3 linked regions of the Oryzias latipes genome follow. The protein of the gene in region 1 interacts with the protein of each later gene in a biochemical or structural test. Links are inferred from orthologs where the notes say so. Each region holds a gene or a part of one and is shown in the gene's direction. Other genes may lie near its edges. The genes, in order: ena/VASP-like protein, rad51 and apbb1.

Region 1 (3,652 bases):
GGAGTTTGTGACATGTGAGTTTTATCATCAGTCACTTCAACTGGATTTTTTCCAATTACTTAATTAGACTTTTATTTTGACATTTCTTTTCCACTTTGTTGTTTAGAGGAACCAAACGGTTTCAGTTTGTTGGGTTTTTAGCACATTTTAGTCGTTTCTGTTTATTCTTTTCTTCGTAAAATGGTAGCCGGGACAAATTCCGGCAACCCTGTGACCCCAAAAAGGACAATAAAGCGGGTTGAGTAAATTGATGGATAATTTGTAAAACTGTGGTTCACTTTTAGACCGTACTCTATTATATTTATTCTGAACTACAACCTTAAGTGTGGAAATGGTGGCATTTTCTCCTGACTACCAGAAAAAACTTTCAGTTGAGATCCCCCGAAAACTACAATTCCCAGAGCTCCGCCCCCTTTATATCTGTCCTCTGTACCAAAAGGAGTTCTTTCGGTGGTTGGGAGACATTCAGAAATGTTCTCTACAGAGGACACATTTGCATTGTTGGTAGTTACTGTACGTAGGAGGATGTTTCGTCCAGCTTCAGGATGTTTAAATCAGGATTTCTTTCACGAATCCTTCGTCTTTTTGTGTTTTCCCCCCAGCGAGCAGAGCATCTGCCAGGCTCGAGCCTCCGTCATGGTCTACGATGACACCAGTAAGAAGTGGGTTCCCATCAAACCCGGACAGCAGGGATTCAGTCGCATCAACATCTACCACAACACTGCCAGCAACACCTTCAGAGTGGTCGGTGTCAAACTGCAGGACCAGCAGGTACCGGAGTCCAACTGAGACATATTCTATCATTTCCAATGGGATGGATGTATTTTATTGATCACATTTTGTTAAACAAATCAGGGACTTCTGTGTGTTCATGAAGCTCCAGAAGCCTGAAAGTTTGCCACTGAAATAAAATACTAAGAGCATTTTTAGTCTAAATGTTAGTGTTTTAAAAATCATAGAAAAAAGCTGAAAAAAATGTAATAACAGTGAGATAAATCTTACTTATGCACTAATCTTCTACCAGCTGAGGGATTCCACCTAACCTTGAAGGACACATCGTTTTTAAAAACAAAGTTAAATAAAATTATCTTTTAGCATCTTTATTTAAGTAAAAAAACACTCTTTTTTTGGCCTTTACATCCTGCAGTAGATTTAAATAAACTGTCTGGTTGTAATGTTTACAGCAGAAGACGAGACGTTTTCTTTATCCTTAACAAAAATACTAAAATAATGTCTAAAAGCCCTAATGTTTCTGTGAGGAATTTCCAAAATAACTTTTAGGCTAAACTCTCAGTTGGGGTTCTTTCAAAATAAAAGCTCTGAAGCTGAATGTTTAGTGGGAAAGAAAGAAACACGATTTGAAGATTGGTGTTCAGCCTCAGTCAGTTAAAGCTTTCTGGGTATATTTATCTTTTACATCTTAAGCAGCGCACTGGACTCTGGATGAGATCTGTGGGATGGAATGTTCTGTTGTTGAGCAACTTTTGTTGTTATTTTATAAACTGCTGAATAATTTCCTTTTTTCTTTCTTTCTTTTTTAAATTCTGGATTATGGTGAACTGTCATGATTCGCTCAAATTAAATGAGAGCTGATTTAATATATGGAGAATCCTAATCCTCATGTGTTTTTCTCAAACCTGAACTTTAAACACAGAAAAAAAAGAAAAAAAGCATAGTTAAAAGGAAATTCAAAGTTGGGAATTTTGAGTCATAGACAGTTTTTTGTTTTGGTAATATAATCGGCTTTTTGGGACATTATTTAAACCGTCCCAAGCAGATGTATGTCATGTTTAGGGCAAAACACAAGAACAATGCTCCTTTTTCTAAAAAAATAAAAACATCTCATTTCTTTTCACAGGTGGTTATCAACTACTCCATAGTGAAGGGTCTCAAGTACAACCAAGCCACTCCCACCTTTCACCAGTGGAGGGATGCCCGGCAGGTCTACGGCCTCAACTTTGCCAGTAAAGAGGAGGCCACCACCTTCTCCAACGCCATGCTCTTCGCCCTCAATGTCCTCAGTGCTCAGGATGGAGGTGTGTTCTCGTTTGACTCATTTAGCAACGACGAAACCTGCAACTTTTTCTGGACTGATAGGAAAACGATGAAGATGTTTACAGGGACTGCAGTCAGTGACTCAGCCCCTCCCACATCTGAAAGCTTTCAGCAAACAACTGAAGAAGTTTGTTCTTCGCAATTTCTACAAAAAAAAAAGGAACGTTGGCAGAAAATCTCATCAAGATCTCCAAACTCAATTATTGAGGCGTCCAATGATAGGTGTAAGATGATGCCTCACGCAGGGCGTTAAAACCTGCTACTCCCCTATTGTGTCTTAGTCCATAACTAATCTGGCTCTAATTGGAGTTTAAACAGAGTTCTGGTTTTTGTTGATTGATTGTTTGATCCTTTTGTAAATGTGGGGCTCAGGTTACAAGCCATGAAATCTGCTGGATGAGTTGTAGTACCCAGCAGGTAGATCCTGCTGGAGATGAGAAGATCAAACTGTAATTGAGATGATGGATCGTCTCTTTGTCAAGGACGTGTGGAGAAACAATAAAAGTCTCCATCTTCATTTCTCAGATGAGGCAAACGGTCGTGTTTTTAGGCCATTTGTCTAAATGTGTCCATTTTTCCTGCTCTTATCAGGAGATAAATGATTCACAAGCGCTGCCCCACAGAGTTAGAAACTGCAGAGGAACAGAATGAGACGGAGTGGCGTTCACAGCCTGCAGGGTTTTTTAGTTTGCCCCTGCAGTCGACCCCCCCGGCCCGTTAATTAAGATGACTCATGGAGAGGATCTCCCCTGGGCCCTGAGGTCTGGAGCGGACCTTTTCATCTGCATGCTAACGTGGGGCGAGGGCTGCAGTGACAGCAGCTGCTGGCTGATCTGAGCCAAACACGAACACACTGGATGCAGGTGTAAAAGATTAGCGTGAACCTCACTTTGGACAGTTCCATAGGTTATGTGTAGTCTTTATGCTGATAATACCTCCTAGTGGTAGGGGGGACAAAAACATGACCCATGGTGGTCATTTTGACTTAAAACACGATGAAAGTGGTTGATTTTGTTGACGAGGGGCCGCCTGCTGCAGCCAGGGGCCACTCAGATAATCGACTTCTCATGTGGCTCGGTGACATTCGGCCGTGCAGCTTGCAGACAAACCCAATGTTTTGAAACCTTAGCCAAAGATGCTCGCTGCACTGCTGCCGGTGTGGGTTTCCTCAAACATGACACACGATGCCGAGGCGGGGAAGGAGGTGAGGAGGCACAAAGAGGTGGAGATGGACAGAGCGGGAGTGGGAGAGTGGAGGTGTAGGGACAACCGAGGCAGGAGATGGTCAGGAGGGAGTGGGTCTGTCAGTGTCTGTGCATCTGCTGCAACCGCTTTCTCTTCTGCACCATGTCATGTAGGTACTTTTATTAATTTAAAAACTATTTCCGTGATGTGTGACTTTAAAACTATAGAAAAAGGGGTTTTAAATGACAATTTAAACACTTGAAATAGCTGATGTAGAAGTAAAGATTTTGAATTGATATTAGGGAATCTGACAAAACAGCGCCGTATTAAGTCAATGAAGATTCTCATTCATCCAGGAGACTGTTTTGAAAAAGAAGGCAATAAGTCCGGGTTCTTCAATTTCAAGATTCTG
Region 2 (3,752 bases), about 18 Mb from region 1:
GTGCTGGTTTTATTGTGAAGGTGCTCCGTGGAAATGGGAGTCTTTCCATTCCAGAGGAAGGCGTTTCAGCAGATTAATAGGCAGGCATATCTGTGGACAGCTGTTTAATTCTGGGAGGACCCTTGACTCTCTCCTTTCTTTAAAAGCAGGCTCTTAATTTGTGAAAAGATCCAGAGGTTTCTTGAGTCACCGTGAAGTTGTTGATTCAAAAGCTACTTCTGGAATTTTCCTGCTTACTAATGTTTTTAACGGTTACTGAAAAGTTTTCTGAAGATGCAAACTAACCTTTGATCTGTTCTGAAGTCTGAAAAAACATAAAGCTGAGCAGATTCATTTTAGTAAAGACAGTAAATTCTGTTAACAAATTCAGGTTTTTTCTTCTTATTTACTTTTTAAATATATATTTATCTGTGTGCATTTGTTCTAACCCCAGTCTTTTTCTTTAAATCCAGGGTAAAGGATTCTGTCATGTTGATGATTAAAGCACAGAAAAAATGTTTTTAAATCTTTTATTTTTCAGATGCTGCAGCTGGAGCCAGTGGGACAGACCCGTGGTGGCCACAGTCTCCCAAAAAAGAAGATTTCTGCAAAACCCAATGAACATTAAAAGAATCCTTTTAAAAATGAATATTTCACTTTTCTTTTAAAGCCAAAAAATAAATCCTGTGTTTTAGTCTGACTTTTTTGTATTTCAGTATAAGAGTGATTCTCCTCTGAGTTGAAAACACTTCATGTGCAATTTTGTTATAATTGTAATAAATGGAAAATGAAATGTGAGGTTTATTCTTTTATTGTTTTAAGGTTACGCTTGGTTGGAAAAAAAAAATTCACTTGAATTTTGTTGCAGTTATGTACGAAAAATGTCAAATTAGTAGGTCACAGCTGTTTTAAATTTGAATTTGCATTTATTGGCCCATGACTTGGATGTTTGTTTTTGAGGAACTAGTTTAAAATCAAACGCATATTTAAGCATGCGGAGGTCATGTTTAAATCCTTTTATGGTGGGGATTTTATTTTCCTATTGAAAGTAAAATAAAGGCTTCAAATTTAAACAAGATGCCAATGATGCCTGAAAGTGCTTTTACAATTCAGTGAAATCTTTGCTCTATCAAAATAAAGGTTTATTTCAATGTTTACTGAAAACCTTATTAGTCACGGATGAATAAATGAATCTAAATACCACTTTTGAAGACTTTTTTTGTTAAAATAATCACAAAAACGTGTCTGACAGACATTTTATTTGGTAAAGACATTACTTATAAACATGAAATTGAGGGGAAAATGCGTTTAAACAGATCTTCCTAATGAGAAATTTTGGATTTTTAACGGATCCCTGTTCTTTGTAGCTTTTCACATTATGAGCAAGCCTCTTTTTTTAAGATTTAAGTATACATATTTTATGTTTTTGTGGAAAACAATTTCAAACTAATATCCATTTACGAAGCTAAAACCGAAAATGTTTAGTTCTTTATTTTTTACTTGATAAAAAAAATGTTCCTTTTCCGGTTTCCTGTTTTGTCAAGGCATGGGAACACATGTGACGTCATCGCGTTCGACAGGAATCTCGTGCGCGGGAGTTTTGTTTGTAGGATCAGCAAACAGAACAAAGCAGCAGGTATTTCATCGAAACCGTGGTCTTTAGTAGAAAAATGTCACTGCTTCTAGGGGGTTCGAACCATGACACTTGGCTCTTTGCTCTTAAACCCAGAGCAGCTTTACGGAAGATCAAACTTTTTGTACGAAATTACGCAAATTAGCGCTAAAGCTAAGTTAGCGGGCGACTTCAATTTAGCCAAAAAATGCTTTGAAAGATACAAATAAGCCTTTTGAAAATATGAACAGCTGCTGTTGTTATTGGAAAACTTTGATTTATAGGAGTCAGTTTGTAGTCGTTTGGTTAAACACTGGTTTCCCCATAAGTGTTACGTCAACTTATCAATAAAGTTTTTGAATTTGAACAACGGGGTGTAACTTCAACAGGCAATGTTAACTTTAGAAAACATTTGTCTCTTCTAATCATTTATTATAAAATGCGGATTAAAAAAAGCTTTGAACACCTGCTGAGACGCTGCAGTTAACATTTTATTTTATCAACTACAACTAAGAACTACAAATCCCTGCTGCATAACAGGCTGCAAATTGGTTTGATAATGCCACTTTATTCCCTGAATTATGTAGAGGAAAGAAAAGTAATTTAAACGTATATATTTAAAATTATTTGACTAATAAAAATTCGTTAGTATTCAGTATATTGCTTAAAAACCTCTAAAGAGGATTGATGGATAATTGCATGCTGGGAAATCATGTTTCACGTGTTTAAGTTTTAAGTTACTGTTAATATTCTTATTCTGTGCTTAGGTGTTTTGGGTCGTTTAAAACGCTCCTATTTTAGTTTAAGAAAATATCCTCAAGTCTTTTATGTTTTGAAGAAAAACTAGTATTAAATCAGTAGGATTTAGTTAAATGAAAGCATTAGACCTCCTTAAACTTTCTGTCCTGTTTTGTTTTGTATCGTGGTGTTTGCTGCTCTGACACTCCTTTTTGACTCTGTGCAGTGAGGACCCTGCCTGAGGAGAATTCAGCTTTTCATTCAAGAGTCATGGCCATGAGGAGCGAGGCTCGGGTGGAGGCAGAAGTGGCGGTGGAGGAGGAGGAGAACTTTGGGCCGCAGCCTCTTAGCAGACTGGAGGTTTGAACCCTGATAGTTCTATTGTGTCTTTTGCAGAAGCTTTGTTGTCTTAAACATTTTGGTTTCTGCTTGCAGCAGTGTGGAATCAGCTCCAGCGACATCAAGAAACTGGAGGACGCAGGCTTCCACACCATTGAGGCCGTGGCGTACGCTCCCAAGAAGGAGCTGCTCAACATCAAAGGCATCAGCGAGGCCAAAGCCGACAAGATCCTAGTGAGGAACAGCAGCTTCTGGCTTCAGGGATTCTGCTGCTCCTACCTAACGGTTCTGTTATCTCTCTCAGACTGAAGCTGCCAAGCTAGTACCGATGGGTTTCACTACAGCCACAGAGTTCCACCAGAGAAGGTCGGAGATCATCCAGATCTCCACAGGATCCAAAGAGCTGGACAAACTCCTGCAGGGTGAGTTTGCTGGAGCTCCTTCACCATCCCTGAGGATTTGAAGAATGTTGACCTTTTCCTTCCTGAGTTCAGGTGGTATTGAGACAGGCTCCATCACAGAGATGTTTGGGGAGTTTCGCACGGGGAAGACGCAGCTGTGCCACACCCTCGCTGTCACGTGTCAGGTAAGATCAGCGCGGAATGGCCAAACTTCCATCTGTCTGATCACGTGAAGCTTTCAGTCCTCTGTTCTGTTTGCAGCTGCCCATCGATCAAGGGGGAGGAGAAGGGAAAGCGATGTACATCGACACAGAGGGGACCTTCAGACCAGAGAGGCTCCTCGCTGTGGCAGAGAGGCGAGTTTCCACCGTGAGCGTCAAACTCCTCATCTTACTTTGAGAAAATGTTAAAACTCTGGGCTCTTCAGGTACGGTCTGGTGGGCAGTGACGTCCTGGACAACGTGGCGTACGCCCGCGCCTTCAACACCGACCATCAGACCCAACTGCTGTACCAAGCTTCAGCCATGATGGCAGAGTCCAGGTGAGTCCTTCACACCTTCTGCTGTCCTCCAGTCCACTTCCTGAGATCAGACAGTTTGCAGGTTTCCGAACACATTCAGTCAAAGGTCACATACCCAAGTGTTTGAGCTTTAAAGTCCGATCATCTTTTTTTAAAATCTATT
Region 3 (3,664 bases), on another chromosome or scaffold:
AAGAATTTTAGCATTGATTAAGAAGATTAACAAATAGTCCAAATTGTTTTTGTTCTTATTTAAAAAAATAAGATATTTTAAAATACATTTAATAAGTGTTATTTAAGCTTTTAGTGCACTGGAAATATCTTTTTTGTGTAGATGCAATAGGTTAAAATTCTTATTTAACAACATTTGAGTTCTAAAGATTTAACACAATGGTTGATTAAAATGATCCAAGAAATGTTTTCAATTTATTTTAAAAACTGAAACAAACTGTAAAAAAAAACATGTTTTCTTTCTTGTATTTGACTTTTATTTTCGGTTTATACTTTTTTTTTTCATAATAAAAATAAAAATAAATGAATATTTATTTGCCAATTTTATGTTGAACCTGATAAGCTCAATAATAAAATGAAGTTTAAAGGCTGCAAAAATAAAAAATAAAATAATCTAAATTGACCGTTATCTGTCTGTTGTTCCAAAAACAGGTCAGAAATTAGGTTTTTGAAAAGGAAAGCAGAGTATAAAAAAGCCACGCTAAATTTAGGTTTTGTAGGCTTTATGTTTTGAGTTTTTGTTGGGAAATAATAGAGAAATAAAATTAAAGTTATGTAACCTTTTCCTTTTTTCTGCTCCGTTACTCTGATTTTTTTTTTTTTTTTTTTGGTTGTACAATACTTTAAAGACTACATATACAGTATATATTTACCTATCTCTCATGTTTGATGTGATTGTTTGATGTGGCATGTAATGAAGTCAAAAACGTCCTCACTGGATGGATCTTTTTCTCCAAAAACGGTGAGGCTGCTTCGTGGAGCCCCCCTTCCTGCTCCGTGGGCTCGGGCCGTGACGTCATTCCGTGACGCAGTCCGTCCTCCATCACTGCCTGAAAACACCCAGAACCGAGCAGAACCTCACGATGCGTGGAAATATGTAGTTAACTCGGCCTCCAGAGCAATTATCGATCACAGCGGGTTTGGTGGAACCGGTAAGTTATCTTTTGAACAGCTCTGGATAATATCCTGGGAGACGTCAACCGTTGAAACCCTCACTTCGGTAGCCTTGGCTGGCTAGCGGGGCGAAGCTAACCCCTTAGCCGAGCAGAGAAGAAGGTGATGATGGCGGCGGATGGTGGCCGTTATTTCCAGCTGCGGCGATAGCATCCGCCGCTGAATTTTGTCTTCTATCTTTTATATTTTGTATTCATTCTTTTCTGAATTCAAAATATTTGTCAGGGCCAGCCATTTTACTGCCACTTGAGCGTATTATCTTAAACCTTAAAAAGGCCGTGCTAGCAAGCAAGCAAATGGAAAGGATGAGTATAATTTTCCGGATGGAATCCCTGACGACCATAGAGAAGAATAATAACACACTTGCTTCTTTTAAACGTACTCTACCCATATGGATTTGCTTTAATCAATCTGGAAAAGCATATTTGTAGATGCTAACGACGTGCTATTAAATTATAGGAAATATGTAGGAACTGCAGCATCAGATATTTGACATTATCTCAAAGCTTTGCTGCATGCCCCCTCTCCTAAATGAATTATTATTTGATTTAAGTATATAAAATAAGGAAAACCAAACAGCTGGTTCCTCATAAAGCTTCCACAGCTTCCAGGTAGGCGTTATGTCAACTGATCAAGTGGGATGCAATTGTCAAAGTAGTTAAAAAAAAAATAAAAAAAAGACTCTCAGCTGTCAAACTGTCTTTTTACGCCTCCACTGAATGACTGTGCTGCTCTGGTTTTGCCTCCTCCAAGACAGTGTCTTAAAACTAAAATAAAATCATTTCTCAAGGTTTGATGCGACTGCTGCAGCTCCCTATTTCTCTAAAGGCTGTGGCTGTTATTGTTTTTTAAATCAGAAATAGTTTTACTGCTGCATTAGCTCTAATCAGAGTGCAGGAGAATCATTGGTTGACTTTTCTGCAGGCCAACAGCATAACAGCTACTTTGTATGTTTGCAAGAGTTTGGTTATATGCAGGACCGGATACCTGTCATATTGCTCAGATGATCTTAATATTTGACATAAAATTTCTCATATAACTGATATCCACATTAGGGTTGCACGATATAAAGAAAACTCACAATTTGCGATAATAGTGATCAATATTGCGATGATGATAGAACTTGCGATGCATGAACGAATAGCAAAACTACCAAAAGCATCAATTCCATTTCACTGCAACAGTTTGATTTAAATAAAAGTCAACATAACTTAAATTCTACTCCAAATGACCCTCGTCTGCATAGGAGGCGAGCATCTAACATTAAAAGGGCTCCATCTGATTGGGCAATAACATTAAGGGATTTATTTGATTTATTAAATACTTCAAGGTGTCATAAGATTGTTTTAGCACATTTAAGGTATGCAATTTTCACCGACTTTTGCGGTTATGCGTAATGCACAGCTTGATAATGCGATAACGATAAATTTGCGATTTATTGTCCAGGCCTAATCCACATCCAAACTTTTTTTTTCTTGGTGTTCACTGGTTCCAGCTGCTGACTTACAATCAGTTTGAGGACTTGGCTATCAAAATTCAGTTCTATAAAAGCAACAGCATTTCTAAGAAATAAAGAAAAAAGGTTGGAAATTGGTCACTAACTCTGCAATACATTTTTAGCAGATTCTTTAAGAAAACTAGCCTTTTCATCACAGGCTTAAGTTAGTCTTAGTTAAGATTTGTAAAGAATCTTCGGTTTTACAGGCCATTTTGGGAGTGTAAGCTTGTGGTTTGTGTCTCAGCTTTTTGGAAAGAAATTATGGGTCGTTTGAAAAAGGATCCTGCTTTAGAAATCGGTTGCAGTGAATAACAAAAAAGGTTTCTGATTTAGCCTGTCTGCAATGATTTTGTATCTTGTTTTCATCCTGTGTTTTTTTAGAAATATGCCAACAGTTAAAAATGTATTCAGCATTTTTTCATAAAACAAAACCTTTCTTTCTTTCTTTCTTTCTTTCTTTCTTTCTTTCTTTCTTTCTTTCTTTCTTTCTTTCTTTCTTTCTTTCTTTCTTTCTTTCTTTCTTTCTTTCTTTCTTTCTGTCTTTCTGTCTTTCTGTCTTTCTGTCTGTCTTTCTGTCTGTCTTTCTGTCTGTCTTTCTGTCTGTCTTTCTTTCATTCTGTGTTTATTTCTGTCTTTCTTTAGCCCTGTGCCTACACATGATTGCACAAGTATAGATCACTTTAAAATGCTATAATTTAAAACCACATGAAATGAAATAAAAACTGTGTTTAAAAAATAACTGTTGTCCTAAACTGCCTGCAAAGTACATGCTATTTGAAATTCTAACGCTGTGTTTCTAACATTTCTTTCTTCATCAGATATCTCGCATGGAAAGTTACCATGGGTGGTCATGATGATGAAGATATGACATATGTTGTAAATAAACAAAGGCAAGAGGAAGAGCTGAAAAACAAGCTGAATGAAGGCAGCCACTGGTGCGACCAGGAGTCTACAAGCAACAATGCCAAGTGGGTCAAAGAAGGCCAGAACCAGCTCCGGAAAGTAGCTGAGAATCATCAGGATCAAGATCACAACTGTAATATCAGTCAGAATGGAAACGAGGATGACTTTCCTCACCAGAACATCACTCAGGAAGAACAGCAGGGAAACGAAGAGCAGACCAAGGTTCCCAAACTAGCAATGACCCCTGGTCTTAGTCAGGAGGACTCCAAGA

What was found.
Region 2: the proteins of ena/VASP-like protein (region 1) and rad51 form a complex in vitro, tested with the Homo sapiens proteins (2 studies listed by BioGRID and IntAct). The link is inferred for Oryzias latipes from reciprocal best matches to the Homo sapiens genes EVL and RAD51.
Region 3: the proteins of ena/VASP-like protein (region 1) and apbb1 form a complex in vitro, tested with the Homo sapiens proteins (2 studies listed by BioGRID). The link is inferred for Oryzias latipes from reciprocal best matches to the Homo sapiens genes EVL and APBB1.

What each region holds. Positions count from the first base shown.
Region 1 is NC_019882.2:2,014,372-2,018,023, reverse strand, and holds part of ena/VASP-like protein, read left to right. Parts: exon of another isoform or gene 1-593; intron 594-602; coding exon 603-771; intron 772-1,858; coding exon 1,859-2,036; intron 2,037-3,652. UniProt on the Homo sapiens protein: Ena/VASP proteins are actin-associated proteins involved in a range of processes dependent on cytoskeleton remodeling and cell polarity such as axon guidance and lamellipodial and filopodial dynamics in migrating cells.
Region 2 is NC_019882.2:19,722,680-19,726,431, forward strand, and holds the start of rad51 (DNA repair protein RAD51 homolog 1), read left to right. Parts: upstream 1-1,544; 5' UTR 1,545-1,615; intron 1,616-1,651; exon of another isoform or gene 1,652-1,736; intron 1,737-2,555; 5' UTR 2,556-2,599; coding exon 2,600-2,689; intron 2,690-2,764; coding exon 2,765-2,902; intron 2,903-2,972; coding exon 2,973-3,090; intron 3,091-3,162; coding exon 3,163-3,254; intron 3,255-3,330; coding exon 3,331-3,425; intron 3,426-3,496; coding exon 3,497-3,610; intron 3,611-3,752. Other genes in the region: centromere-associated protein E, read left to right, coding at 521-600.
Region 3 is NC_019871.2:9,726,861-9,730,524, reverse strand, and holds the start of apbb1 (amyloid-beta A4 precursor protein-binding family B member 1), read left to right. Parts: upstream 1-809; 5' UTR 810-970; intron 971-3,308; 5' UTR 3,309-3,330; coding exon 3,331-3,664. UniProt on the Homo sapiens protein: Transcription coregulator that can have both coactivator and corepressor functions. Adapter protein that forms a transcriptionally active complex with the gamma-secretase-derived amyloid precursor protein (APP) intracellular domain.